Lepisosteus oculatus: one gene and its partners. The protein of the gene in region 1 binds, or shares a complex with, the protein of each later gene. Links are inferred from orthologs where the notes say so. Each region holds a gene or a part of one and is shown in the gene's direction. Other genes may lie near its edges.

What was found.
Region 2: washc5 (region 1) and washc3 share a complex: the UniProt entries of both Homo sapiens proteins name them as parts of the WASH core complex. The link is inferred for Lepisosteus oculatus from reciprocal best matches to the Homo sapiens genes WASHC5 and WASHC3.
Region 3: washc5 (region 1) and wash1 share a complex: the UniProt entries of both Homo sapiens proteins name them as parts of the WASH core complex. The link is inferred for Lepisosteus oculatus from reciprocal best matches to the Homo sapiens genes WASHC5 and WASHC1.
Region 4: washc5 (region 1) and washc4 share a complex: the UniProt entries of both Homo sapiens proteins name them as parts of the WASH core complex. The link is inferred for Lepisosteus oculatus from reciprocal best matches to the Homo sapiens genes WASHC5 and WASHC4.

The regions. Positions count from the first base shown.
Region 1 is NC_090705.1:7,631,177-7,638,382, forward strand, and holds the start of washc5 (WASH complex subunit 5), read left to right. Parts: upstream 1-4,198; 5' UTR 4,199-4,294; exon of another isoform or gene 4,295-4,360; intron 4,361-4,832; exon of another isoform or gene 4,833-4,853; intron 4,854-5,428; 5' UTR 5,429-5,545; coding exon 5,546-5,731; intron 5,732-6,444; coding exon 6,445-6,590; intron 6,591-6,960; coding exon 6,961-7,045; intron 7,046-7,206. UniProt on the Homo sapiens protein: Acts as a component of the WASH core complex that functions as a nucleation-promoting factor (NPF) at the surface of endosomes, where it recruits and activates the Arp2/3 complex to induce actin polymerization, playing a key role in the fission of tubules that serve as transport intermediates during endosome sorting.
Region 2 is NC_090702.1:54,884,359-54,892,437, forward strand, and holds the start of washc3 (WASH complex subunit 3), read left to right. Parts: upstream 1-5,071; 5' UTR 5,072-5,191; coding exon 5,192-5,242; intron 5,243-5,518; coding exon 5,519-5,617; intron 5,618-6,684; coding exon 6,685-6,750; intron 6,751-7,710; coding exon 7,711-7,839; intron 7,840-8,079. Other genes in the region: nucleoporin Nup37, read left to right, coding at 399-512. UniProt on the Homo sapiens protein: Acts as a component of the WASH core complex that functions as a nucleation-promoting factor (NPF) at the surface of endosomes, where it recruits and activates the Arp2/3 complex to induce actin polymerization, playing a key role in the fission of tubules that serve as transport intermediates during endosome sorting.
Region 3 is NC_090702.1:11,587,114-11,594,664, reverse strand, and holds the start of wash1 (WASH complex subunit 1), read left to right. Parts: upstream 1-4,476; 5' UTR 4,477-4,602; coding exon 4,603-4,610; intron 4,611-7,551. UniProt on the Homo sapiens protein: Acts as a component of the WASH core complex that functions as a nucleation-promoting factor (NPF) at the surface of endosomes, where it recruits and activates the Arp2/3 complex to induce actin polymerization, playing a key role in the fission of tubules that serve as transport intermediates during endosome sorting.
Region 4 is NC_090702.1:56,844,913-56,852,517, reverse strand, and holds the start of washc4 (WASH complex subunit 4), read left to right. Parts: upstream 1-4,522; 5' UTR 4,523-4,594; coding exon 4,595-4,655; intron 4,656-7,605. UniProt on the Homo sapiens protein: Acts as a component of the WASH core complex that functions as a nucleation-promoting factor (NPF) at the surface of endosomes, where it recruits and activates the Arp2/3 complex to induce actin polymerization, playing a key role in the fission of tubules that serve as transport intermediates during endosome sorting.

The DNA.
Region 1 (7,206 bases):
TGAGTTTCTCATTTCCCTGGAAGCACATTACTTCATTACATTACATACTCACATTACAATAGAAGTGACCTACTGTACTTCATCCACCACTGAAGGGCATCCCTCACCTGGGTGAGGCGCAGCAGGTCAGTATCCCCACTCCACAGTAGAGCAGGGAGGGGGGGGGGGTCAGGAGGGAGGCCAGATTGCATAAACCCAGAGTGGTATCGAGTCAGGACACCAGGGTTAAAACCACCTCTCTTTAGTCATGGCACCTTTATTGGCCCATGTAGTCCGGACCTTAGCATCTGATTGGACAGCTGGCAGCTCCAGGGACAGCAGCGAGACCTTGGTCATCAGACGGGAGTGCTGAGTTGGAAATTGAGGTCCAGAATGAAGAGTACCAGCTATTGGTCCACAAATACAACTTGCTGAAGGAGTTTACTGTAGAGGACTCCCATCCCAGCACAGACAGGAGAACTGGGCCTTCGATTTGCCTTCTGTCAGGTGAGATCAGGGTACAAGGCAGTATACATTTGCATAAGTTTTACCAAAAAGACGGTCCGTTTTATCATTTTCTCGTTTGAGGTTAAAATACAATGTGTTGCAGAAAACATTCCATGTGTGCCTACAAGTCTATTTTTGCTCATTAATGGAACTATAGTAAATAGGTGTGTGTTAAACCAAACTGTTGGTTGTGACTGTTGAATCGCAGGATCACCTACCTCAAGTGGATGTTTGCTCTCCTGAAATGCATTAGTGCTCTGATAACACCCATGTTTGATCTCTGCCAGTGGTAATGCCAAGATAACATTCAGCTGATTGAAGAGCACTTGGAAGGCTAAACTACTGCTCCTTGAGCACTTGCAATTTCCACATAATACATGTCAGAAGCTTTAGAGCATTCATTTTAATGCTATTTTTCAAGAGAGAAAATGGTAAGAAATAGTCTGAACTTGTCCCAGTTCCTTTGGCAAACTAATAGCAAGCTCACTACAGGTGAGGCCCTCAAACTGGGGTTCCAGGTTCTTCTACTGGTTTTTGTTCAGTCTGAGCTCTCAAATCATTCATTTTTTCCCTTAATAGACCAAAGTATAGATTTAATTTAAACTCTGGTTTCAGTTACTAAATACAGGAGGTTGCCTTTTTTTTTTACTATTGTTTCATAAGTACAATCTCCAATGTTTAAGAGCAGTTTTAGTTGGAAATGGGTGAGGGAATTCTTAATTAGCAACTCGAGGAGTGATTGCATAAAGTTCCCCGTCCTAAAGGTGTTGGAAATAATGAACCTCTCACTGGGGTGGTTTTGAAATCAAGGACTGAGTGCAGCAAAAAAAAGGTAAACCAGCTAGCAGATCAGTCAGAGGCACCAATTAGCACGGGAGATTAAGGGCTCAGCTGGAACTGTTGATGAGTAAGATTGGTATTATAATGGGCATGGGAACGGCCCAGTTAATCCACTTTCCATTTGATTTCTGTGGAAGAGAAAAGCCCAGCCCGCTGTTTGTGAGTGGGCGTCTTCAATGTGGAGCCGCCCTGCCTCTCCCAGAGCTGGAGAGAGGAGCAGACAGCACAGAGCTGGCCCCACATTGCACTGCAAGGACGGTGTGCTGACAGCCCTGAATTTGGTTTGCAAACCTGGAGGGCAGCGAGAGCTCATCACCCGGCTGGACTCTCTCTCTCTCCCGCTGCTGTAAAACAACAGCATCAATTCATAACCCTTGCCGTGTCTGTGAACGCAGAAGCTGAGCCATCTACTGTACATCTTGAATGGCCTGGACTCAAATTCCAAATTCAGTTTTTCGTAAATGTCTTTAGGTTTAATTGATTTCTGTTTTAAACTTTGTTTTAAAATTCAAAAACATCCCCTATTCGTTCCAATTTTTAGAACCTCTAAACATAGATAACATAAAGTGTTCCATTTAGAGCTCTTGTCTAGTTTTACCTCTGTGGAGTTTTGCCTTTATTTTGATTTTTCAAACAACAAAATAAGTGTTATTTTTTAATCGATATCAGATTCTAATATTTGTGTTCTGATATACTTTGATATGGTAATAAACTGTTCCAGTACAAACAGCTACTCCAATGGCTCCTGAAAAAAGTAAGGAATTACTGAAGTATTGCACAACATAGAGAAACAGTTTTTACCTCTGACAGACTTAGAGGTCTTAAAATAAATAATTTCTGCTCCAGTTTTTACAATTTGACAAATAACATGTGATCTGGCCAACAAAGACAACAAGGATGTGCAGTATTCAACAAATAAGAAATGGTCTAAAAACTTCAAACACCACCCAGCTCTGCAGTTTGTAACAAAAGCTTTGATCCATGAAAGTCTGTTTTAATTTTCTAACTACCCCCCAAGCCAGGTGTTGTGGTGGAGGGTCATGTTAAAGGTTGAATGCATTTAGCCAAAGGGCTTGTGTCAGAAACAGTGTTCTTTTACACAAGGATCAAATTGAGACTATTGTTTCCAGCAAACACTCTAGACTAGCATAAGATATCTGCAGTGGGTTTAGTGTTGATGAACAACACTGTCAGGAAAAGATGACACATAAGGACATTATTAGTACCCAACATAAGGCTATGACTGCTAATAACTCAGCAAGGAAAACCAAAATACAGATGTCACTTTGATACAAATCTTCAATTAGTGTTGTGTTTGTTTGCTTCTTCGTTCGCAGTAAAAGCCCCCTGCAAAGACACTTTCATTGTGCTAACCGCCCCAAATCCCCCAGCGCGCACCACCACCACAATCCACGATGACCAGGTACTTACTGTACGCTTCCAACTGCGAGAGCAACAGTACAATTATTACGGACTTGATTAAAGCCATTTAGTATGCCTGCCCAAGAAAACTGACCATCTTTTTGTGTTTGTATGAAACAGCTCTCAAGGCAGGGATGTCTAAGGACAAGAGCAGCGAAATGCAAACGTCAGAGAACAGGCTAACAGACTTAATCCATGTCTGTAGAACGAGATGGGCAAATTTATCTGATTTGTGTTTTAAACCAAGCTCTTCATGTTATAGTTATTCTAGAGAATGAAGACTTATTTTTTAGTGGCGTTTGTTGTACGAGTGCAGGCTCGTAAATGACTCACTCCAGTCAAGCCAGAAGCTGCTGGTCCTAGCTCTTTATTTGCTTTTCTCTTGGGTTATGTGAGGTGTGTCTGCATATTTTTATTGCTCTTTTTAATTGATACGCAAGGGCATGAGGTAGTCGTTCAAAGAGTCATTTATTTTTCATTTAATTTATTTAAATTTGTCTTTAATCTGAGATTTCTACGTTATTTATTTACATTATAAGCATGCTTAATTTCTGCATAAACCACGGTTAGGTTTATATCGTGCTTTGATGTAGTTCCCTGATTTTCTAAAAAAAACAAAAATTAAAAAGTCTCTCATGTCTATTTCCGTTGCTTTGAAACCCCTCAATTAATCATTTAGTAAAATTCTTATGCTTTATCCTGCTGATTTAAACTTAAAACATATTACATATTACATATAAGGGATATATATGTGTGTATCGTTTATGAAAGAAACTATTGTGGTACAATTTAGTAATAAATAGTGCACACTTTTAATTCAATTTTAAAAGATAAAAAGTATTTAAGTACACAATTTACGTAATTGTAACATGAAAAATTTCTAGTCGTTCATGAGTGTCTGCTGGGAAAACAACCGAAGAGATAGTGAGATTGCTGTTGAAAATTCAAAAGCCCTTTAGTGACACCTGCAGTGAAGTGTTAGTTTAGTTTTTTTTTTCTCGCATCCACAGAACTCGGGCAGCCTCTTTTCAGACCAGTGTGCCAACTTCACAACTTCGAGGCAGCGGGTTAGCAAGCGATCGTTGATCGTGAAGGGGGATTGTTTCACGTAACAACATAAATCTGGCTCTTAATGAAGTTATTGTACACGCTGCAGTGACTAATCTGAGGAAATGATGAGCTACACTAACTGGGCGAGAGAGCTCCGGAACTTCACGTATCCCACAACTCCCAGCCCGACACAAGGCCGGAAGAATCTGCCTTCAGGAATTCGGTGTAATAAAACATCTCCGAAGCGAAAAGATCTCTTCAGAGAGAGTAGAAAAGAGGAATTCAAGGGACGGCGTAAGCCGTAAACCTTTTTTGCACCTATGGTGATTAATCGTACTGCTGTTTTATAAAGCGCACCAATGAACACCGTGTGCTCTCACTTGATGGTGCAGCAGCACCGATAAATAAATCTGCACACACTACTACCGGGTCATATGATTCCAGTCCAAGTGTCATGTGATCGTTCTGTACAACGGGAGACTGGAAGGGGACTGTGGTGGGTTTCATATTCCAATATTTCATATAGGTTTTATTTTTTTTGCAAGAAACAAGCAAGGATAAGGTAGATAATTTAAACTTGTTGCTCTATCGATGTTAAGAAAGGGACCGTCTGTTTCGAGCTGCCTCTCATTGCAAAACTCAAGGCTGACAGGGAAATTAGGAAGTAAGGAGAAATAATGTACAGTAGGAACAACCATCTTCGTGGAAAATAAATCGATAGATGCAAATCTGAAGCCGCAACTCAAACATAGACAGTTACGTTAATTTAAAGATACGTAAAGATATACGTGATCATTTAAGATTGTTAACCTTTTAGGAGCCTTTATTTAATAAATGTGTAACAGAGTTCTTAACTATAGTTAACTGAGTTACGTCTACGAAAGAACAATCCGGCTTTTGTTAAAAACCATGAAATTGATCAGTAGTAGTCAGTTCCTTCCTACCAGGCTATGGACATGTTATTAATATTCATGCTTATCTGTTTCAAGATATAAAAATATCTCAATGGAATATCAGCACCTAACGTTTTAGTGCAAAAGACTTACTCCATAATTGTAAGTGAGTATGGAGCATTTTTTTAATCTTACTGTACCTGTGGAGTCCATGAGACATATTTCTAAAGGATGTCATCTTGGTCGTAGCGCTGTAGAGACTGTACTGTGGTTTGTAAGACTCTGTAAGAATGGGCCCATAACACTGCTTGCAGCAATGTGCCAAGTAATATAGATGAGTACCCTGTTTGTCAAAATCAACCCATATATTCAATATCAGTCAAATCAAATCAATATATTTTGTGGAAAAAAATAACAACAGCGATTTAAAAAGATTAAATTCATTAAGGAAAATATTAGAGCAAAGATTTGTGGTTGATCTGATTCCTCAAAAAGTGTAGTTCTAGCTACTCTAAATGATAATTCTGCCATTTATAAGGTTTGCTGAACGATTCTCATTGCTTTGTTGCTGTCTGTACAGATTACAGTAATCTTTTCAAAGTGTTAATACATTTATGCTCAGCCCAATTATGTGAAAAACTACCCTGACTTTCATGAAGTGACATAGCTGGCTTATATGCTCCTCAATATTAAACTTTGATCTTTGGTTACATTTTGTTCGCTTGGTTTTGTTTTAGGTCCCGTGCCTCTACCAGATGAGCTTCCTCCGGACTGTATGACTCTTTGACGGTGCCAGGCTGAGGAATGCTTTAGGATATCTTTCTGGCTCTGCAGCTTTGATCTGAGTGTCAGCCATGGTAGACTTTCTAGCGGAGAATAATTTGTGTGGCCAAGCCATCTTGAGGATTGTTTCCCGAGGGAATGCGGTCATTGCAGAACTCCTCCGACTCTCGGACTTCATTCCCAGTGTCTTCAGGCTGAAAGATAAAACTGACCAACAGAAATATGGGGATATTATCTGTGATTTCAGTTACTTTAAGGTAAAGTGCGTTCAACTGTGTCTCTTTGACAGGTTCCATTTGACCTTTATGTTAAGATAAGATCACTTTATTGGCCCTATACAATTTCTTGCATTAGGAACTTTTTTTCTCACATACCCCAACAAGCTCTCCATGAGACACACAGATGGGGAGCGAAAAGCTTGGGGTCAGAGCGCAGGGTCAGCCATTTATACAGCACCTGGAGCAGCTGGGGTTAAGCGCCTTGCTCAGAATCCCAACGGAGTAGGATTCCTCTGCCAGCCGTGGGATTTGAACTGGCAACCTTCCAGCCACAGGCGCAGATCCTTAGCCACAGAGCCACCACTCCACTCAATCATTTCTTTAAATGTTCATCTGCCACCTTGTTTTTACTTGAAAATGTTCAACTTCGGCCTATTGCTTGGTTTAAGAACAGATAGAAATGAGCGAAGGCGGTTTGGCCCATCTAACCCATTTGGTAATTAAAAGCTATTTGATCCAAGGATCTCATTCTTCTGTTTCTTGAAAGAAGCCAGCATTTTGCCTTCAACAACATGGCTAGGTAGCTTGTTCCCTACCCCCTAACCCTCTGAGTAAAGAGGAGTCTCCTGTTCTCCAAACAATCTGAAGTGTAATGAATGTGCTTTTATGGCAGTGAGAGAGAGGGATGCAATAGCTATCATGATGTATAAATATGCTTTATAAGGAATCTGTTATGTCTTTTTTTCTCCAAGGGTCCAGAACACTACGAAGGCAAACTGGAGGCCAAGCCAGAGCTCCAGGATTTAGACGAAGAATTCCGTGAAAATAACATTGAAATACTCTCACGCTTTTACCTTGCATTTGAAAGTGTCCACAAATACATTGTGGATTTAAACAGGTAATTAGATCTTCCTGAACTTCATTATTTTTCTGGTTGTCTCTTACATATTTAGCATTTAATTGTGACCTTGGTGTTCAGTCCCTGTCTTTAATATAGCAGGAGAACTATAGGTGTGACATGTCACTGATTGGTATTTGTGCACAATTTTGCTGCATGGATATACCAATGGTTCAGAGTGCATCAACTTATCTTTGACAGGTCTTTCTTCAAAGGGTCACAGTACCAAGAAGTACATTGTGTTATAATGTGGAAAATCAATGTGATGCCTTCTAAAAGCATTACTAGAAGCAGGATGTGAACGTTGTACTTTGCAGAACTGTAGACCTGCATGTTTCTCACACGGATGAATCGCGTTGTGTCTTTGTAGGTATCTGGATGATCTTAATGAAGGTGTTTACATTCAGCAGACATTGGAAACCATTCTATTGAATGAAGATGGGAAACAGCTCGTGGTATGTTTGTGTCGTGCATTTATTCAACAAAATTAGTTGCACGTTTAAGCTCTTTCTGAGAGCTGGGTTTCTGGAGAACTGAACATAATCTTTAACATTGTAGAAATACAGCACTGTTTTATTCACTTTTATCATCTGCTTTTAACAATTGACTTTATTGA
Region 2 (8,079 bases), on another chromosome or scaffold:
GATCGAAGAAGAATACAAAATGATCAGTTTTGAACAAAGCTCAGGACAGCCCACTGAGCCGAGTGTTAAATAAACTGTTATAGGTCACAGTATTACATCTTGTTTAAAACCTTAAAATAACATTATATCAACATAGCATAGGGATCTAGGATGGTACACTTCTGTGCTTTTTGGCAACAGGATGAATCATGTGTTTTTTTAAAGAAGTACCCAAAGACTAGAATTTCAATAAAAGCACACATCTGAAATTTCAAACATTTGGTGCCCCCCAATAATCTGCTTTTCATATCGTACCTTTAAAAGCAATCATGGATATGCTGATCTGATGAAGGTAAATTATACTGTTGTGTTGTGTATCGATAAGTTAATTGTTATTTCAATGTTGTTTGTGATTGCAGCCGGTGATGATTGGATCAGCTTCTGTGGGGGCGGGGCTGAGTTGGCACAGGACCCTCCCACTGTGTGTGATTGGTGGAGACCGGAAGCTTTTGTTTTGGATGACAGAAATGTAAAATCGGCTGCATAATATGTTCTGTTAAAATGGCTACAATTTCAATAAAAACTTTTTTTATAGAAGTGTATCAGTTAAACAATGAGCAGTTGTTCTTCTGTTCTTCTGAGAGTGCTTTGCGTGTTGCCCACAAAGGACAATAACAGTTTGATTAAAGAGAGCAGGACACGGATGTTTTTATTAGCTTTTCTTAGAAAAGTATTTCAAAGAACTTAACCACCGCTGTCCAGCCCAGCTGAGGGCGAGTCTGGGGTCAGTGCTCTCTGGAGTGGAATGTGTCAGCGCGCTGCACAGCAGATTCGTCACTTGCAGAGCAGGCTCCAAGTTCGGCACAGAGCAGGCTCGGTCGAGACAGACGCAGTGCACGAGGGGGGAGCCTGGGCGCGTTACTGGCAGGCTGTGGGTTCGAGCCCCAGGGGGGACACTGCTGTTGAACCCGTGAACAAGGCACTTCACTCATGTGGATTCATGAAAACACCAATACAAACATGAACAGCTTTGGATAAAAGCATTGGCTACATTATTAATAATAAAGTTCACATGAAATGAAGATGTTTATAACAACCTTCAAGAACCTGTGTTAGGCAGCACATGTTCCTGGGGTGGCAGAGGTGTGTATTTGTGCCTGTAAGGCTCACCTCTCTAACTCTTCCAAACGGGCTAGATGGGCCGCCGGCTCTCTTCTTGTCCATATCCGTTCTTCTCTTGTTAGGAAGAAGGTTTGCTCTTTTCAAAATTATTTTACAGCTGTGAAGAGCATGTTCGTGTGACGTGTGAATAAGCAAAGATATAGAAACCAGAGGAGTGAAAGGTGGTCAGATCGACGAGGAAAAAGAAACCCCTTCACAGAGCAAGTGAATTGCCCCAGGGCTAGCATACGCAATGAATGCTCAGCTAAGTAAGGAAAGGTAGGCAGAACGGAACACTGTTGGGGCTGTGCCTAACTTAAACCCTTTTCTTCCCCAGTGCCATAACCATAGAAGTACCTTAAAGTGTGAGACGGCATCTCAGGGATAGAAATGGATCCATTTAGAAGATGAAAAGGCATGAGCACATGTGCTCTGTTACTCAGATGTTCAGGAAGGAAGAAACACAACAATGGTAAAAAATGATCCAGTCTCCAAGGTACCAAAATTGAAGAGTTCCACATAGTAGGAGAATTTCAGACAAACCAACCTGATGGTGGATATGACACATGAACCACTTGCAAAGCATTGATTCAGTTTGATAGGCATTGTATAAGCTATACTGTAGCAAGTGAATGTAAAGAGTCACAAGATTTAAACAAGAAATGTATCTGGACTATCATACAAGACATTAGAAAACAGCTATAAATTGAATGGTTCGAGATTAATCTGAGGAAGCAAAAATACAACTGTGTGTACTACATCATATGATTTGCAAGCACTGTCTGGGATCTAAAGCATATTGCTGTTTCCAAATGTGACTTAAATACTCTCTTGAGCAGCACTCTGTCTGCAGAGTCATCAACACAGAGTGCGTGCACACTCACACATAGAACTGACAGCCTGCGGGCATCGTGAATGAGCCTACTGAGGTGGTCAACAAAACTAACCACACGGGTAGAAACTCACGAACAAATATTAAACGGCGTCAGTATTATTCAGCTACGTGCAACATGTGTCGATCCTGTCATCCCTTGAGCCTCCGTTCCAACTTCCTTAATGACAGGACAGTCCTCTCTCTCTGGTCCAAGGGAATTGCACTGGATGATGGCCCTACAATGTCTTGATTTGGAGGTTTTGGGGCAGTTTTGCATGAAAGGTTAACTTTGAGGAAGCACCCCTTTTAAGGATAGGTTAGTATTCAGTAAGGAGGGTAATAACATGAATCAAAGTAGCCAATAAGCCCCATGTAGCTAATAGTGTGATGCTGAGATCAGTAGGAGCCCCCAGTGAGCTTTCTAATCTACATTAGTGACCTAATCCTGGGTGGTGTCAGATAATTATTCAAAATTAGGTTGAGAAGCAAACCCCACTCATGTAGGAAGAAATGCGGTGCAGGTATTAAATGCAAATAAGATTGTACATTCTAAATGTCAAGCAGGATGCTTAGAATTGCTGTAAAAGGTTCTGAGCTGACATTCAAAGATCTCTGGACCCCCGGTGGCTTTAAAACTGCAACATGCTTCTGCAACCATATTCAGAGTACTTCGCTCAGTTCCAGTCATTATACTGCATGTCAGAAATACATTGGGAGGAATTTCAAGAAGGGCAGCAATGTTTTCCATTCGAAAGGAACGACAAACAATTGGCAAACGAATGAGAAGGATGTGATGGAGATGTTCACAGTCCTAAAGGAACACAATAACTAGCACAGCTTCAAGCTTAGCAAGGACACTGTGACCAGAGGACACAGACACAACACGCAAATGTGTTAAAGACAGAAAACACTGTAAGAGTGTGCGTGTGGCTGGTACACACAGAGATTAGAGTGTGGGTTTTTTTTTAATCGCATTTTGCCTTGGAATCTTTTAGGAGGAATGCAGCAAAAGTGGCCAAATTAGAAAAGTTTGATAGTGAAGCTGAAGTGCAGGTCATTTCTGGGACATTTAATTTGATGACGATGTGCAGACTGCACATTTTTAAAAACAGATTTAGCAGTAATAACACCACGTCTTTCACATTTGCCTCGTGAAATGACTGGATTCCGGGCCAGATCGGTCTTGTGAGGCACCTTTTTCAAAGACTGCAGGCACAGGAGGCCGTGTTGACACCCAGCCAAAAAGTGGGTGAACCCCCGAGCAGAGGGTATTTGAGGTCATGCCAAGAGAAGGAAACGGAACAAAGCTGGAAGAGATTTTTTCAAAGAAAACCTCAGGAAACTAAGACTGGGGGTCTTTTAAGGTCGTATACTGCTGGTTGGCAGGAACCACGAGGAGCAATTAGAGATTTCAAGGAAAAAGTGGAGGGGGAGGCGGGCTGGTCGGAGGTGGAAGGCTGTGCTTCAGTCAGTGTGCAGGAGCTGTCCGACACGGCTCTGCGCAGCGGCTGCCACACTCGGCCCCCCCATTTCACAGCGAGGAAAACAAACACGCTAGTTTAATAAAGGGAGGAGGACAGTGTCTCTTGTTTTCTCCTCTCTTTTTCACGCCTGTTCCTTCTTCACTGTCCTCACAGGTCAGATATCCTGAGAACATCGAAGGAGCAGAGACCTTCCACAGCACAGGTCGATAGGCCGTATTCATTTAGAGCCATTGGTCACTTACTGACTTGACCTTTTCTGTTCCGGATTGGAAACGTGCTTGACACGTGACACAATATGTTTAACGCAATGTGAATCCATTAAGAAATAATAGACATGCATGTGTGATGCGAAACAAAATAAATATTGATAAATATAGTCAAATATACAGTCAGCAATCCCAATTGAGCAGGATAATTGCTGTTGGAATTAAAGTGACTGTAGCTGATAGCTGTGAATTTTCATTTTTTGACCCAGTAACAAAGACTGACTGAGGTAGCGGTTTTCATTATCAGCACTTTTACTTTTAAATACGACTTCTACCTAAATGCCGTGTTTTTAATTTAAAATCCTGATGTCTTGAAGCCTGAAGTTCAATATTGGGCAGCCCCTTACAATGACTGAAGTATATAATATAGTATTGATGCATCTCACGTCTGTCTCCTGTTGTAGTGAGGCTGTTTGTTAATTCTGAATGCATATAAGCATGAATGTATACTTTACAAAAGAAATTTGTTGCATTTAGCCGTGCTTAATCTGGTACAATTACTTTCGAGAACATTTAAATCACAACTGTAGAATGTGCTACCATCTAGTGGTGGATTGGCATGATAGCATTTTGTTCATCAAAATGAAACGTAAACCGACGTCTTCGCGGAACACCAATTACAGGAATACCACGAAAAGAAAACGTCCTGACTGTGTGCAATTAAGCGATTGTTGGTTGACAGCTTTTTTGTGATTCTTCCAAAAAAAATCATTCCTCTCAGTGCTTGTTATATCCGGTCCTAGAAAGATTCGTATTGTAGAGCTACTGTATTAAGTTAGTCAGTTAAATTATGTCTGTGACTATCATTTGAGATTCTCCTGTGTTCCAAAACGGTGACATTTTAGACCTCAAAATAAATGTCCTTCTTTTGTTAAAGAGTTTAATCGAAATACGACTCTAACCAAATCTTACATTCTTTTCCCACACTGAGACCCTTTACTCTGTTATACTTTGCCTCTGTTAGTCAACGTTCACACAATTTTCAAACATATTTCACTCCGGACTCGCGTGAAGTACCAAACTATCTAGCTACAGCTGCCTGCCAATCCGTCAATACCAGCGAACAAAACAATTAATATTTAGTTAATATTTAAAATTTCTTAACTCTCATTTTCAATACACAAAAATGTTTATTAGCAAATAGCAAAATCACTGCAGTAATACATCGGGTGGGAAAACAGCAATTACCACGATACAGTACTGTGGTATATTCGCTCTGTTTTTTATCTTTTGTTTTATATATTTATATTCGCTTGGAAAATGCACAAAAGCCTGATTGTTTCCGGGTTGCTGCTAATCACGTGAGCTGCACGTGACTCCGCCGCGTGACGTTCCGCAAATAAAACAGGAAACACCGGAGCTTGTGTGATTCTCAGACAAGTGTGTGTTTCTTTCCTGCTTACAAATTAAAAAGTGCAAATAAAGACATGGACGAGGATGGACTGCCAATCGTGGGATCGGGAATTGACCTGACAAAGGTTTGTGTTGTGTAGGTCAAAGGTGCATGTGTTCTACGAAACAAAATGTGTCGGTGCCTGACAAAATGATTTGTCTATCACTTTGCGGTAACGTTTTTGCTGTAAAAGGACGTTTTTAGGGTGCAGTTGGAATAAGAAAATAATATGAAATTCGCAGTGTAGTGTAAGACAATTCGATGCAGTATTTTACTAAATGTGCACGCTCGACGAAGGCATATACTAAAAAAAACTACTACTAAAAAAGAAACACTGATAAGACGTTGTTTCGTGTTGCAGGTTCCAGCCATTCAGCAGAAGAGAATCGTTGCGTTTCTCAACCAGTTTATTGTGCACACGGTTCGGTTTCTCAACCGGTTCTCCACGGTATGCGAGGAGGTAAGTGCTGCTCCGCTTGTGTTAATTGTGTCGCTGGCTTCACGCTGCTCCGATGTGTTGTGCCTGTGTAAGATTGCACGGCTAAGACCACTTGCTCTGCCTGTCTGACACTGAAATATGTTACCCCGACATCCTAGCCAAGTTTCCTCCTATTAATCCCCATCTTTAAACTGGCTCCATCACTCTGCTCTCCTCCCCACTGAGAGCTGGTGTGTGGGGAGAGTACTGGTGCACTCTGCTCTCCTCCCCACTGAGAGCTGGTGTGTGGGGAGTGGACTGGTGCACTCTGCTCTCCTCCCCACTGAGAGCTGGTGTGTGGGGAGTGGACTGGTGCACTCTGCTCTCCTCCCCACTGAGAGCTGGTGTGTGGGGAGTGGACTGGTGCACTCTGCTCTCCTCCCCACTGAGAGCTGGTGTGTGGGGAGTGTAGTGGTGCATCATCCAGGTGGGGCTGCACACTGGTGGTGGTGGAGGAGAGTCCCCATTACCTGTAAAGAGCTTTGAGTGGAGTGTCCAGAAAAGCGCAGAAGTGTAACCAATTATTCTTCAGCTGGAGACCGGGACTCACACAATGAGACTGAGAATTCTCATGTGCAGCACTGTGTGTGGAACTCGCAACCCAAATCCATCATAAACTTTGCTCATCTTTTCATTATTTGCTTTTGTTGTGTATGTGTACACTACTGCACAGCGCATTGAGTTTCTTGAAAAGTGCTGATAAAATTATAATAATAATGTCATTAGCTGTTATAATCCACAGATAGTTAAGAGAAAGATGATTTTTGTCATTTGGTCTCTCTTTAGGGTATATTTTGAAAAATAAGGAGGTACCTACATCTACCATTTCCACTTCCCTTACAGTTTTTTCAACACTTCATTCAGTATGGTGTTGACGTAAAACACTGCATTTTCTCATCTGAATTTGTCCTTTTAATTATATTTTAAATAACAGCAGAGGAAACCCTTCTTAACAGTAGCGTATTTTTAAATTAAACTCATTTTGTACTGATATGCACAGGCTGTTCATTTGATAGACTATGCAAAGATTGTTTTCTCTACTTTTATAGAAACTAGCAAGTGTATCACTTCGGATTCAGCAAATTGAAACAACTCTGAATATTTTAGAAGCTAAGGTAAGTATGTTACCTCTCCATCAGACCCTGGTAACTATAGTTAAATATAGAGTACAGTTTCATAAAGAACCCTGATGCACACAGTGCATGTTACACTGTAACTTACAGTAGTGCAAAGTTAAGACACAGGGAAAGATTTACCACTAACACAGAAAGACATCGCCTGATTCAATCATTGCCATTGTCAAATGATTTAGATAGTTGATAAAGAATAAGTTAGTGTCTTTTATGCATTAATTAGAACCCCTCGTTCAACCATAGTTCTCAAGAACCCAAGTCCAGTTTGATTTCTACTGTAGGTTGAAGTGAAGATTAGAGACAATTTCAAGTCACTGATAAGATAAGATCACTTTATTGCCATATACAATTTCTTGTATGAGGAGTTTGTCTTTTCACATACCCCAGCTTGCTCTCTATGAGACACACAGACAGGGAGAGAAGCTGGGGGTCAGAGCGCAGGGTCAGTCATTGTACGGCGCCCCTGGAGCAGCTGGGGTGAAGGGCCTTGCTCAGGGGCCCAGTGGAGTAGGATTCCTCTGCCGGCTGTGGGATACGAACTGGCAACCTTCCAGCCACAGGCGCAGCTCCTTAGTCACGGAGCTACTGCACATTTAAACAAGTAATTGTTCAAATAAGAGAGCTAATTTGTGATGGCTAGGGTCTTCTGATTTGGATTCCAAAAGATTAATTGAGCACACGACCTGTTTAACTGATCACAGTGAAATTGTTCCAGGTCTATGGACACGTATGATTTATTGAGTATCTCATATTTAAATAATTTGGCCCTTCCTCTCCGAATAAGTTAGAAATGTGCAGATTGCTTAAAGTCACAAGGAAACAGTCAACACAGGGGAATGACAGTAACTGTTATTGTGCCACTTTCTGGGGGTTTAAAACTTTTACAACTTTAAATGGCTCACATTTCCAACGGGCGCTTTTATGTTGGTTTTCCCCTATTAGCTCTCCTCTATTCCTGGTCTGGAAGACGTGAGGGTGGAGAGGTCCGCTCAGAGACAGGTGTCGGAGCCCAACGGTCCAGTGTCCACGCCAGTGCAGGCCCCGTCTTCGGCAGTCCCAGCCCCCACTGAGGTGACTGCTGCCCGAGGGGTGACCCCAAAAGCTGGACTTTTGTTTGTTCTGACTTCTTGTTTTCATTCTTTCCAGTAGGATTCAAAATCGTTTAGAGGACATTTTGGGGGTTTGTTAGTTAGTTTTGTTTCTGAGATCTCTAGAGAGCAAACAGCTGGCCGGCTGTGAACGACAGAAGGGCAGGCATCACTTCCAGACCCTGAAGGGTGATCCCCCATTCCTGGAAGTGGGCTTCGACTA
Region 3 (7,551 bases), on another chromosome or scaffold:
TATATTATAAGCATCAATGTTTTCAATCAAAAACATGCAATAAAAACATAAACCTCATCCTAATGTAAGTTTTTGAGATAGGTTGCTTTAGAAAGATTTATGGAACTTTCAGTGGCTAAAGGTCCCTGATGCCACATAATCAACTTTTTCAGAGCTTTGGGTCCACGAGATAGCCAGTCACACACGCAGAGCAGCCTTTACTAAGTTTCTTTGAGACATTTGATTCTCAGGGGTGAAACTGTAGTGTTTTTCAGGGATACTGTATAAAAATAAAATAATGTGAATGCTGACCTACTGGGTTCAATATCTGGGACGAACCCATTTAGTTTAAAAAGAAATTGAAAAACTGAAGGACGCTCCATGATTTTTAGTACTGCTCTGCAGTCTCACTAGCAAAGGATGGGTGAGATCTTTAAGGCAGTCTTACAGACTGTAAAGAAAAATGTGGGAGATATATTTGACATACAAAATCTGTCATGCATCAGGCATACTTCTGGACCTGTTTTTTTATTTCTTAAAGGAAATACTATTAAAGGAAGGAAAGCCTTTATATCATTTTACACAAAAATATTAACCAAGAAAAAGAATGACTGGCCTAAGGCATCTGTCTATGTGGAGTGCATTTTTTCTCTGTGTTTGTTTGGGATTTTTCTAGGTGCTTATCTCACAGGAACAACACCAAACAGACAAACTCCCAATATTAGAGCTGAGCTAGGATTGTGGATTAGAAGGAAGCAGGCCTAACCATACGATCCTTCTTGATGTTCATGTAATGAGTCTTTCAGCTTCACAATGCAAAATAAGGTTCTCCTTGAATGAGTGTAACATATTCATGTTTCACTTTATCTACCCTGTTGCAGAAATTTAAAGTAAATTAATGTTTTTTTAATGTCATGGCAAGAACTCTCAATTTTAAACTTTAATCATTTTTCCTAAGTAAATTCTTGTGAATTAATCACTAAGTCTAATAATTCAAAACCCCCATTCCGCATTTAGAGACTTGACTGAGAAAAACAGATGATTTCAAGAGTGGATGCGAAATAAAATATGGAAGCATCATAATCTCCTAGCACTTGCCCTGCAATTTTCCTTTACAATGAAAAGTCGACAATAGGAAAACAAGTTGAATACAAATCACAAACATAACATTCCTAAACCTTCAATGCCACTGATTCATTGCAAACAAATAAGGCAAGCAGAAAAAAATCCAAATGAAACAAAATTGTGCAGAACAAAAACTAATGTAGTAGCTAACCATGTCATTCTATTTAATACTGAGTTAAAAATCACAATATTAAAACCACACAAAATAATTGTTTAAGATACATCAATAATGACAGGAAATGTAGTTTATTGAAGCTTTTAGAGCAGTTCTTCAGTTGCTAAAGTATTTTAAGCAATGACATATTTTTTGTTCATAAAAGAAATAGAGACATGCATAAATGTTCTAAAACCTCTTCAAAATAGGAAGTACAGTAACTTTTAGTAGTAAATATGTACAGTAATATTTGGAGGAAATTAAAGATTTCATAGATTTTCCTTCTAAAAGATTAACACATTTATGTGATTCTTTGGATAAGCCTTCAAACTTGGTGATTAAAATCCATTAATTTGCATTAACTTCAAAGTTGTACACTGTGTGGATCATCAGTAAGAAGTGTATTTCGAAGAATGCCTAAAAATATATCATCCCAAAAATGTTGTATAACATCTATTTTTTGTAGGCTGACTACTGACCCTTTTCTTTGTTTTGCATCTTGTGGAACAGCAAATGTGTATTGAAGTCAATATTGTGAACCAACACTAATCCCAGCAATCACAAGCTGTTAAAGTGCAGTGTGTTTCATTTTACACCTTTCCTCACAAGACAGGAGTGTGAAGAGGAGGAGGCAGCTACTGTCTTGGCCAAGTTCTTAGCCTTTATACGAGAATGCATCTTGGCATTCCATTCTGTTAATCTAAACTAATGTGTTTTCATCAGATCAGGGACTAACACTATGATGGGATTCTATGGATAGATGCTTTTTATTGCAGTATTTTTCACTTAAGCTATTTTTCTGTCTTGAAAATGCTAATCTATTTCAAATAGTGAAAGTAAAAAATAAAAAGACACATAAACCTTACATTTAACAAGTACCACTTTTATATTTGCAGACGTTTAACCTCCATTGCTACCACTATCAATCCCAACTGATATTTTGCAAATGAAATACAGTACATCAATCCTTGTTCTAACCCCTTTATCCAATACAGGGTCAAGCAAAAGAGTACAAGGTGGGATATACCTTGGATGTGGTGCCAATCCATCGCAGGGCACACTCAGACACAGAAACGCACACGCTCACGCTCACACCAGGGCCAGTTTTCCCAGAAGCCAATTAACCTACCAGTATGTTTTGGGACTGTGGGAGGAAACCAAAGAACCTGGAGGAGACACATGCATATCCAGGCAATTTTTTATAATTCTAAGAAAGTCACAAATATTTCCCTGTAACACTGTTGTACTTTGCTGTGTGGAGGAAACCCACATAAACACAGGGAGAACATATACTGTAAACTCCATACAGATAGCACCCTAGGTCTGGAATTGAACCCAGAACCCTAATGCTGTGAGGCAGCAATGTTAATCATTGTGCCACTCAGTTTCACCCATCATTTTATAACCATGATTTTCCTAATTACGGCACATAGAGTCAAAGGCAACAATATTTTTTCCCACTTAATCAGTCATTTTAAAATATGCAGAAAATAATAATGTTATAACCAGGAAAACATATTTTTATATAAGTTAAACTTATCAGATCTTAAAAAAGATTAAGTGACATTTATTGTTAAAAAAAGATTGAGAAACATCATAGTTTTAGATACTTTTTCTCTTCTCTCATGTCTGGCCGGGTCATGGCCTCATCGCATATAGCTCATAAATTCAATACTACTTCCACTTAGAATAACTGTATTTTATATGACTTAGATTTTTATTACATGTCCCTGACATATTCAGGTTTCTTTGGGATACACTGTCCAATTTTACATTTCATGTTAGATTTTTGCAAAGAAAAGGGTTATCTTTTCTACAGACCAAACTTCTTCTCATTTAGCCTACAGTAGGTCAAATATGATACCAGGAAATCCTGCACTGCTTCCCTTCAGTCTGCAAAACATGAGTAGGCCTGGTTGAAAAAAATAGACAAGCAATAAGAAAATTGAGAAATTATTATCATTTACAAATATGTACATCAATAACTTTCTTTTTGTGTGGTGCACCTAGTGTACAAAAGCAGCATCCTAGCTGTGATTCGAACCCACAATCCTTCAGTCTAGAGTTTTAACCAATGCTCCCCCAGAATTCTAGCATTGATGTTGACATTAAATCCCACACAATGCTGGGTTCCAATTAGGATGTCCTTAAAAAAACGAGGACATTTTAAGAGAAAGCTAACGTGTGTTGAGATAGGGGAATGTCTTGTCTAACTAACTTGCCAGATTTCTTCTAATAAGCAATGAGGACATTAGATATTATAAGCATATGACATAGAATATTAAGATTTCTATAAAGCATTTGATATGGTCCCTCATAAAAGGTTGATTTTCAAATTAAAAGTCACAAAGATTCTGGGCAGTGCCACAAATGTGAGTAGTGGAGTGTAGAGATTCATTTTTCCTGAGCAATGGGAACAATCTAGATTCTGGTATAGTTAGCAAACTAGTCAAACTAACAATTTTTTCAATAAAACTAAAATAGGTGGAGTGGGAAACACATAAACAGTGTCAAGGGAGTAACAGAAAGACTTATACAAAATCATGGATTGAGCTGACACTTGGCAAATTAAATTCAAGAATAGCACAAAGTATTTGGAACATACTCCATTTGTATCACATTGGTGCTTCTGATGTGCAAAAAGTTACACACAAAAGGGATCTGGGTGTTTAGGTAGATTTTTGTATGGCCTCATCAAGACAATGTAGGGAAGGAAAAAAAGCCCACACAATGCTTGATTAAAAAGACTGGAATTTAAATTCAGATAATTTATGGTAAAGGTCTACAATGCACTAGAAAGACTTCAACTACAAAATTGTGTTAAATTTTGGTCACCATACCACACAAAACATCATACATCCCTATAAAGACTGAAGAGCCAAAAAATAAGAGCCAGGAAAAGTGTACTGAGATCTAAAACAGGCCTCTCAGCTAGGTGGATGAAGCCCACACTCTGGAAACTTTTTAGATTCACTTAGCTACTTGAAAAGAGCACTTTGGGCCGAATGCCCCCTCATGTTGTTTGCAGACTTATTGTGTTTTTAGGTAATAAAGGATATTTACTTCTTCTCAATGTGAATGATACGCAGTTAATCAAAAATTCCAAGTTACCTAAACAAACTTAGTTTATTAAGCAACTCACGTTTGGTCTAAAAAAGTTCAAACTGAAAGTGACGATAGCGGAGTAGTAACTACTGTAACTTCAGGAAACTATCACAGTGAGCAGGTTGTTTGTCGGGCACTAAGACCGAGCGGACGTGCTGTGATATTGTCAGTTACACTGTAGGATCTGAGTGACAACAGGGTGAAGTTTAAATGAAAATAAGTATATTAAGAAATCATTAATGGTCAGGTAAGGAATCCTACTTTGTTATTCCTGATTTGTGTTTTATGAACTTAATAGGCGTTCTTTCGATACCGCACACAAAGATTTTGTGAGGGGCCTAGAAAAAAGGGAGAGCCAGGGACTCTTCCTGCGCTATGTGCGGGATTGAAAGTCACCACGAAGGGGGCGAGGCTGTAAGTTGATTCCCGTAGGACAGAGAGAAATATCGGATTTAGAGTTAATATAAATTTGAGGAACTGGACATAACAGCTTGTATGTTATATTCATTGAAATAAACGTAAAGTACGATTTGACGTTTTAAAATTGTAATTGCAGAAAATAATACATTTCAAGCATTGTATACTTTCGCTATTTTTTATAGCGTTAGTCATACTTCAATCTGTCACTTAGGCTACATTATAAAAATGTGTGATGCTTCAAAATATCTGTGTACATTAGTACGCGATTGAGTTGTGACGTTTTAAATTTTTAATTCTCACAAGCCTATTCTCAGTAGCCTCTTAATCCCCTATACCCCTATCCCCTATACTCAAATGCAAAATCTGTAATTTAGTTTTGTTCAGACGGTGAAGGTAAAGGCTAGGTGTCAGGTTTTCCTCTCTTATATCACGCTTCTAAGTGGCGGAGAACTATTAACAAGCTGCTTTGTACTGCATCATAATTAGCTTGATCACTGCTGTTTAACCAAGTTGTAGGAGAAGTCACATGAGATGTTTTGACGTGCCTTTCTCGTCTCGAACTTGAGCATGATTTTAAACAGTGCTGATTCATATTACAGTATGTCTGTGCACAGTTTACACTAACTGCAGTTAGATAATTGAAACTGTCTTCCTTACTCATGTGACGCTGGTCTGGTTGACTCTTCCTGTTGAAAAAATGCAGCGCACTAGCCATGATATGTAGAGGTTCTGGCTGTTTTCTACAGTCAACCCCTTGAAGTACTCCAATAAAGTGCTTTCAACATGTGATTTGTATTTCGTCAAATGCTTTTAATCGCGTTAAATTGATATCAAATTGTAACTTAGTCGTTTTTTATAGGAATTATATAAAATTCTATACTCTCCATCTCCAACAAGGAAATTTAATGATTTACTAAGTGTAATAAGCAGTTTTTTATAACTATTTTACTATTTATAGCTATTAAATGCAAATGTATCTGAATTTAACTGGCATCCCATCCAGAGAGTACCCTGCCTTGCACCCATTGCTTGTCAGGATCCCTTGCAACCCTGAATTGGATGAGGCAGTTAGAGGATGGATGGGTGTGATGAATTGGTTAAAAGCAACATCCGAACGCATGGCAAATTCAACTTCAGAAATCCACGAGAACCCAAAATAAATCGATACCATTTTTGTTGCTTCATTCTTGTAATCTAGGTCTTGGAATCCTCTAATCCCATTATATCCATTTTTTCATGGTGTAATTTTGTGAAAACATTGGAAATTACATTTTGGGGAAAGTTAATGACTCATGTGGAGACTTGAAATTACACGTGTGTCACAAACTCTGGATGACTGTTCCTTAAAATTTTGTAGCAGTATTTACATTTGGACCTTGGCTACATCCCTTATGGGTAAATAGTTGATTTAAATGTACATAAAACTTTCCACTTATCCTTCTTTGTACAGCTTTCCTGAAATGAGTTAAGGGCTCAATTTTTCTTGAATGTCCTATTCATTATGAGTTGAACAAGGCATGTGATGCTTGTGTCAGAGTTGAACTTTTTCTGGTCAAGCTCACTCTTTTTCTTCAAGCAGAAGTTTTTTATAGGGTTTTTCTAAATAAAAACAACATGACTACCATTCTTGTGCTCAGTTCACCCACAAAAATCACCTCCATGTGATTGTATTTATCATAACCTAAGGTGGTTAAGCAAAACAAATTCTTTCCTGGTTGAGCTGGTGTGAAAAGGACACTGTACTTTGATCTTGAACGAGAAAAGAATGTGTTTTGTGTGTCATTTTAAATCTCATTATTATCAGTGGCACATTTTACATTACTGAGCAGAAAAACGTGAGAGATTGAGAGTCATCATGAAAAGCTTTTTAGATTTTAAAAGGAAAATTAATCTCACATCCTTTAACTCTTAGTCTGGGACAGCCAGAACCTTCAGAATATTCTCACGCTCAAAAGTTTTGTTCACATTTTCTACATTATTGAAACAAGATTTTTATCATTTTTCTGATGGGTCTGTTTTGTTTCCCCTCAATTTTGTATTGATAAATGCAATTATTCTGAAAGAGTCACTTAAGAATTTCCATGAACATGCCATAGCTCTGTGAAAGAAAAAGATAATTAGAAAGACTGTGAGCAGGGAGTTTTGAAAAGAAGTTCTTTCAATCAGTGCAGGCAATTTCTTTAGCTTCTGTCCTCTGAAACCAAATGTTTCCGTCTCCTGGAGTCTCAGAATCATTTGTCCTTAGAAAAAGCGCTGCAACTTGTTCAGTCTTTACATCATATTTCTCTACATTTTCACATTCCGTATTCATTGCAGCTCTATTAAGTGTACAACTGAGCATTGTAGTACCTCTTCATTGTCAGTTATAAAGTGCTTGATTGTATATTGTATTTCCCTATGTGATGTTTGGAAATTCTGTTCTAGTGTACTGTGTTCTCACTGTGCCTTCCATGCATTTAATTTGGAATACATTAAAAAGATTTTTTTTAAAATCTTATTGAAGGGAAAACTAAATCACATGCCCCTTAACTATTTGTAAGGGACTACTAGACTACTTCTTTAGACTATTCCCACACCCACAGAGCACAGGTTGAAGCTGCAGAGAATTATGCAGATAGTATTACAAAAAAATAAAAACCGAACAAAGGAAAACTGAAACATATATGTTTTATGCAGTGTGTAAATCACGAAAGTGTACATATAAGGAAATGCTGTTGTCCTACTTCTCCTTTAAAGTGCTTATGTAGGCACACCAGAGCCCTTTGGGA
Region 4 (7,605 bases), on another chromosome or scaffold:
GGACGCCTGCAGATTAATTTCCTTAATTCTTTATTAATCCTACATACCTCCATTGTTGGACAGGAATTCTTTGATGCGCTGCTTTCAAAGCATTATTGGAGCAGTGGGGTCTTGGCTACGCCTTTTGTGCTTAAAATGATTCTGTAGAGTTTCAGCCATCACAGGGGGTCACAGGGGAGCTGGGGCCTGACCCGGTCAGCACCAGGCGCAAGGCAGGATATACTCTGGACGGGACGCCAGTCCATCACAGGGCAGACGCACAGTTACACCCGCGACTAACCCACCAGTGTGTCTCTGGAGCCCCTGGTGTGTGTCTGTGTCTGTCTGCCCTGTGCTGGACTGGCGTCCCATCCAGAGCGTAACCTGCCTTGCGCCCTTGGAAGGGGCTCCGGCTCCCCAGCGACCCCCGACTGGATGAAGAGGTTAGAGAATGTTAGGGCAACCAAGGCCAGTATCTCAGGGTCTCCCATGTGGAGTAAGAGAGAGTGATCGAGACAACAGGCGCAAGCGAGGTTGGGTATCCAAAGCCGAATGGTAAGCCAGGGCTGAGGTCCAGGAACGAGAAACGGGATCAGAAGCCGAAGGCGTCTGCAGGGAAATCCAATCCAAATCGTAAGGCAAAGTCGTGGTCAAGGAGCGAGCAGTGAGGTGCGAGTCCAAAAGGGCCGACCAGACAAGGCAGGTAGAAGCTCTAGACAAGAAACGGGTACCGAGCCCCGAGCAGTGCGCACTGAGGGTTCAGGCACGGCGTGTACGAGGAACCGCCGGGGGTGATGAGTCACTCGTGCGGCGGCGCTTGTGGTTAAGGGGTATCCGCTGCAGCCGATCAGCTCGTTGGCGAGAACTGCACTGAGGGCCGCTGGTGGTAACAGAGAAGGGGTGATCCCTCCGGCTCGGCCGCTGTCCCGCCGGGAGGCAGAGGCAACAAGTCGCACGGTGCTGCTGAGCACCGGCTGGGCCCTGCTTCTGTCCCGCCGCGTCACCTGAAGGGCTCATCCAGGGCACCCCGACCTGCCGGACACGCTGCACTGAGGCTTCTGCTGGAAACGTTACCCCGAAATAAGAAGGTGTGTCAATACTGTGTTGCACGTCGGAAAACAGCTCTTTTATAGGAGCAAAACCAAGCAAGGCAGCACTGACTTCAATTAGACAAAAAACTAAATGAGAGACAGGAATAACAACGTTCATTGCAAAGTGAAAGTAAAAGCCCCCCCAGAAAAGAAACAAGTCCTGTGTCTGTTTGAGGTCTGGCGATCATCAGTGTCTCCACTGATCCAAAGGTTGGGTCTGTCATTTGTCTTGTTCTTTATGGGTCCAGGGGTCAAGGGATCCAGGGGTCAAGGGGTCCAGGGGTGTGATTTGTCTCAGGTTTCTTCCACAATCCCATATATACTAACCAGAGCACCAGTTTATATAGAGAGGACCACAGCTGCTGTTAGTCATGGTAGTAATAACCAGCAGCCCGAGCTCTGGCAGCTGACAGCCTGTCACATACTGCTACAATAGGATCACTGGGGCAGGATAGTTTTAGGTTTCTGGACTTTGTGGGCTTGCCTGTGGGTTGGATCTCTGCGGCAGACACTGCTGGTGTACCCTGAAAGAGGTACAGTACTTTACCCCCATTTGCTCCAGTCCACCCACCCGTATTAGTCTGCATTGCTGTGATGGACTAATGTGCTGTCCAGGGCTACCTGCTACCTGCCCTGAACTGTCCTCTCCGACGTTTACAGGTGAGATCTGGTTTTACAGCAGTGGTTTAACTCACAACCTCCCAGGCTCTGCCAGACCTTGGCTTTGTCCTCAAAGACAAAGGACTCCATGGATTCCTGGCAGCTGGCTGCTCCTGGGTGAATTACGAAGGCAATGACCTTGAATTCTCAATTGTCGCCAGCCGCCGCTGTCTTACTTTAACCCCTGGCCGGTGGAGTTGGCTGCTCTCTGCAGTGAGAGAACAGGCTGGGTGGGGCCCTGGAAGAACAGAGGAGTTCCCCCAGGAGGAAATCACCCCGACAGCTCTGGTGCTTCAGCTGGTGAGGCTCTCTGCAGCACACTGCATCAACAGCCCTCTGCTGCCCTCAGACTCCTGTGGACTGTGTCCATGATCGTATTAAACACAGGAATTTAATTAATAATAATTAATAATTGCTTACACTTATATAGCGCTTTTCTGGACAATCCACTCAAAGCACTTTACAGGTAATGGGGATCCCCTCCCCCACCTGGATGATGCGACAGCAGCCATAGTGCGCCAGAATGCTCCCCACACACCAGCTCTCAGTGGGGAGGAGAGCAGAGTGATGGAGCCAGTTCAGAGACGGGGATTATTAGGAGGCCATGATTGGTAAGGGCCAAAGGGAAATTTGGCCAAGACGCCAGGGTAACACCCCTACTCTTTTCGAGAAACACAACACACTGGGATTTTTAATGACCACAGAGAGTCAGGACCTCGGTTTTACATCTCATCCGAAGGGCGGTGCCTGTTTACAGTCTAGTGTCCCCGTCACTACACTGGGGCATTAGGACCCACATGGACCACAGGGTGAGCTCCCCCTGCTGGGGTCAGTGTCAGTGGAGGTCAGTGTGTCTGTAGCAGGGCTGCCCAGTCCTGGTCCTGGAGAACCAGTGTGTCCGTAGCAGGGCTGCCCAGTCCTGGTCCTGGAGAACCAGTGTGTCTGTAGCAGGGGTGTCCAGTCCTGGTCCAGCAGGGCCAGTGTGTCTTATCATTATTATTATTATTATTAATAGTAATAATTAAACTGATCTCCTGTCCCAGCCTGAGGAACACTGAGCCTTCTCTCAGTAAAAATAAGACAGTGTGTCACTGAGGAGCAGTGAGTCTGTCTCTCAGTAATGTGTTTTTTTTGTTATTTCTGCAAATGTCCAATAATGTTTCTATTGCTAATGTTCCGTTAATTGCTTCTATTTTGGCAACTCTGTAATTCATCCGTCGTGCCAGTAAAGAAAGTGTCCCATGACGTCTAATTTCAGACTGTAACACTGGCGGGACAGTACTGCCCAGTACGGTAGTTCAGCCACTGCGTGGACGATGCTGCCTGATGTCTATTTCTCTTAACCCAGAGCCAGCACGAATTGTCCTGCTATTGTCCTCGTCTTAACTCCCGCAAGGCGATCAGCGTGATGGCAGCGCCCTCTGCTGCCCAGGCGCGGAAGTGAGTACTGACAGAAGAGAGAAGCGCACACGATTATTCACGGATTTGACCTCCTCCGTCAAAACGGAATTCGGACTGGTGTCCTGGATGGATAGATAGAAACGAGTCATGTATATACTTCACACAAGGGACATGCACAGGAACACATTAATACACAAACACACGCTACGTCCGTGTTCCCCTGTTCTGCCTGCGCAGAAGCTCTTCAGATCCCGGGCGGTTTTGGTCGACCGGTAGAGTTTTCCTGAGGCGGCTTTTTCAAACGCACCGGGTTCTGTTCTGGCTGAGAGGAGTCGTCGACCATCATTTCCGATCGCCTCTTTAGTCTGAGTGTGTACAGGTCTCCGACAGACGGTGACTCCCTCTGCATAGCGGACATCTATAAAAACATAAGAAAAGCTGCAAAGGAGAGAGGCCATTCAGCCCCAGTCTGCTCGATTTGTCAGTAATTAATTTATTCCAGGATATTATGCAGCTGTTTCTTGCAGGAAGCCAGGCTGTCAGCTCCTGCAGTATGGCTTGGTAACGTTAGAGTTCCACACCCCCACAACCCTCTGGGTAAAGCAGGGCCTTCCTGTTCTTGCTTTTAATAGGAACTTCCATGCAGTCTGCTGGGGTGACATTGTCAGGACCTTCAAGGATTTGAATACTTGAATTAGCTCTCTTTGTAGTCTTCTCTGTTCTGGACTAGACTCTGTTCTGGACTAGATTCAACTGGGTGGTGTGGTGGTGCTGTGGCTTAGGATCTGTGCCTGTGGCTGAAAGGTTGCTGGTTCAAATCCCATGGATGGCAGAGGAATCCTACTCCACTGGGCCCCTGAGCAAGGCCCTTCACCCCAGCTGCTCCAGGGGCGCTGTATAAATGGCTGACCCTGCACTCTGACCCCCAGCTTCTCTCCCTGTCTGTGTGTCTCATGAAGAGCAAGCTGGGGTCTGTGAAAAGACAAATTCCTAATGCAAGAAGTTGTATCTGGCCAATAAAGTCATCTTATCCTATCTTAACTTCCTTCAGCCTGTCGGTGTAGTTCACTCCTTTATTCTCTGGAATGTGTCTGGTTGTTCTCTGGATTGATTTCAGAACAGCAATATCCTTTCAATAATGTGGTGACCGAAACTGAACACCATATTCTAAATTATGCATTACTGGTGCGTTATACTATATATTTTAACATAATATACCTTGACTCAACGCACACAGAAATGCCTCAACGCACACAGCCTAATACAGCTTTAGCAATACTGTAAGTCACCTGTCATTACAATTAAGCTTTTTTGAGTTTGAACGTAGGCGTTGTATAGACTACATTTCCCACAGTTCCTCGCTCGAGGGAAACAGGAAGTCACGGGGTAAATCACGGGATCCCAAAAAATTGGCACTTCACATTTGCTCGCCGTCACTGCAGCTGAGAAAACGGACTGTGGTGATGGCGGTGGAGACAGTCTCTCCGGATTGGGAGTTTGATCGTTTTGACGACGGGTCTCAGAGTAAGCGATCTCGTTTATGTGGGTTACGGCAGACGAAGTAACGGAGAGTTTGGTGTTTTGTTGGTGCCTGTGTGAAGGAGAGTGAAAGCGGAACTGGTGAAGCTTGGTAGTTGTATCTCGCACAGAAAGCTGGCAGTCAGGTGCGACCTGTGTTGTTTTCGTCTGTCGGGACGAGCCGTGGCAGCTCGAAGTAATGTTTATTCATTGACAGTTGTGCAGTTGATATTTGTGAAGGCGCAGAAAAGCATACCGCGACGAGTAAGGTGTTTTTGTACTTCCGAATTTGTGGGAGCAGAGCCGGCTGTCGTAACGCCAGAGTGATCAGAGCTGCCGCTGTGTTAAAAGCCTTTGGGTTTCGGCTGCCTGTCGTCCGGGGGCTCTCCGGTGAGACTCGGCTGTACGTCTGAAGGTGGGTCATTGGTGTCGTGATTTGGGTGCTGTTTAGACCCGGCGCAGAGGTGCGTCTGGTTTCTGGACCTGGAGCTGTGTGTCGGCTCGGGGGTGTGTCATGGGGACCCCCCTCCTCCTGGCCCAGCGTGTAGCTCTGTGTAGCAGTGGTCGCCCATCCTGAGGGCGAGAGTTTGGGCTCTGAGGTCCAGGGCTGTCCTGGACCGTGAGTCTCCACACCGGATATGCTGCGGGTTCAGAGCCCGCTCTCCTCTGAGGCGGCTGGACGCGATCGCCGGATCCAGCCTCCCAGACAGGCTCGACGGGTCGAATCTGTATCTGTGCTTATGTACTGTGCACTTTTCCGCCCGTATTCACCCGAGATTAGCACAGAATAAACCGTTTCGCTTCTCCCTAGGTCTTTCGCATCAGCACTGTTATGCATGTAGTAATACTAATTCTCGCCGTCGCAGCAGCTGAAAACGGGCTGCGGTGGTGAATAATATGTTGCATAGTGAAGAAGTTGCACGCCTCAAAATGCAACATATTATTCATCTAGAACCGTCTTGATTGAATTGAGCCTACCTTTAGTGCCCCTAAGGGAATTTGTCTTGCACATCAAGAGCTCATAGCATGTAACGTGAATGACAGTAACACAATACAGCAACAATACGGACGACAATCAACCCCATCCCTCAAGCAGAACTCAGTTATACATCATAAGATTGAAAAACAGACGATTAGCTAGTACAGGGTCTAAAAACAATAACATGATCCCTACCTGCAAACTCTGTACATTGCTCAACAATTGAATGTTAGGTGTGGAGGAAATAAATGCTCTCTTAGTCTTTATGCAGGGGATCTGAATTTCTGGTACGAAGGGAGCAGGAGAGCATCTTCTCAAAAGAGGAAAGGATGAGAGGGGTCTAAATTTGATCGCGAGATAAATAATCGCCCCGTTAGGCATGTTTTTGAGTTCAGGAATGTGCCGGTAATCTTGCCACCCGTCCAGATTACTCTGCTTGACTTGTTTTTGCTCTGCAAGGACACAGCAGCTCCCCAGCTCTGAACACAAAAGGTTAGAATAAAACTCGCATAAGAAAAAGTGTCAGCATTGTGCTTTCCATATGGAAAAACCTTACCTCTGTATTGAAGGTCCAAGATCATTTATAATCAATAAAGATCTGGCTTTCGTATCTCTTTAGAGAATAGAAGTTCTTTGCCATCCACTATGAAAACAAAAGGAAAGGAATCTGTAGCTTTTCGGTCAGTGGGTCAGGAGTTCTGGGGTCAGCTGGGCTCATGTCAAGGGGTCAGGGGCTGGACTGTAAAAAGGTGCCGTCCAGAATTGCTGTGGTCAGTAAAAATCCCAGGGCGTTTCTTGAAAAGACCCTGGTGGTGTGTGTACTTGACAAGAACTTGATTGTGTTGCAGCGGTTTCAGTGTGGTTGAAGGAAGTTCTGTCTAGCTGCTGTGAAAGAACCCTTCTACACGGGACTTGCAGTTCATTTTCCTAGGTCTAGAAAAAAAAGCCCTGGAGCTCTTTCTTTTTTGCCTTTGCAGTCTAGGTCAGGAGACACTGTAGTGCTGTTAACATAATGGGTGAATTGAGGGCTTTACTGGGCATGTGGAACTGAAAGTAAAGGAGCTTTCGCAGCCTTCTCGTTCGGTGTGCAGTTCCAGTGCGGTGTTGTAGTAGTGTCGCATTGCAACATCCTTTACAGAAGAACCAGGAGGACATGCTGCCGTTGCTGATGGTTCTGTCTGTGGAAAGGTGGCGTGGGAGCTTGCGGATGGTAGTGTAACTGTTTTGTAAGGATGAAGGAGACGGCAGTCCGTCAGCTGTTTTCTCTGTGTTGTGTCTTACACAGTGTGGAGAGGGCTTTGGCGTTGTGAGCCGCACACTCAGATAGTTGGCTGTGTTTAAGATGAAACGGCAGCGGCGCGCTCTTGTTTATAAGGCAGGAGCCCGTGCTGGGTCGTCCTGCTTGGCCGTGTGTCTGGAGAGGCGGGCTGTCGGATCTGCGGGACAGAGGCGCCTGCGCTCCTGCTCGACAGCAGCCTGGAGTGGAGCGCCGGTGGGCAAGCTGCCCAGCCCCCATGACACAGTCCCGGGATCCCCAAGTAGCATCCCCAGGTTGTGCAAGAGATGAGCAGCGCAGGGTGGTGCGCAGGACGAGCTCCCTCACTCGTGGTCGTGCAGTTCCTGTGTGAGCAGGAGGAAGTCGGGGAGGGGGTGCTCCGACAGCGGACTCAGATTTCCAGATGGCAGAGTTGTGTCCCGGAGACGCCCTGTAGGCAGGATTCTGATAGGCAGAAGAAGGCGGCATTTTGTGTGAGCCCTGCAGCCCGAGGCTGTGCTGGATTGAGCTGACTCCTGCTCGCTCTCTGGAGAGCTGGAAACTGGAATCTCTCACGTTTCGATCTGGGAGTCTTACTCCAGGACAGTTGCTTCTTTGCTATTGCTGGCGTTTACGGGTGTTTGGGTGTGTGCAGGGCCGTGTGTGGGTGTGTTCGGGGGGGGGTATGCTGTTGTGTGCAGGTGTGTGTTGTGTGCCGACAG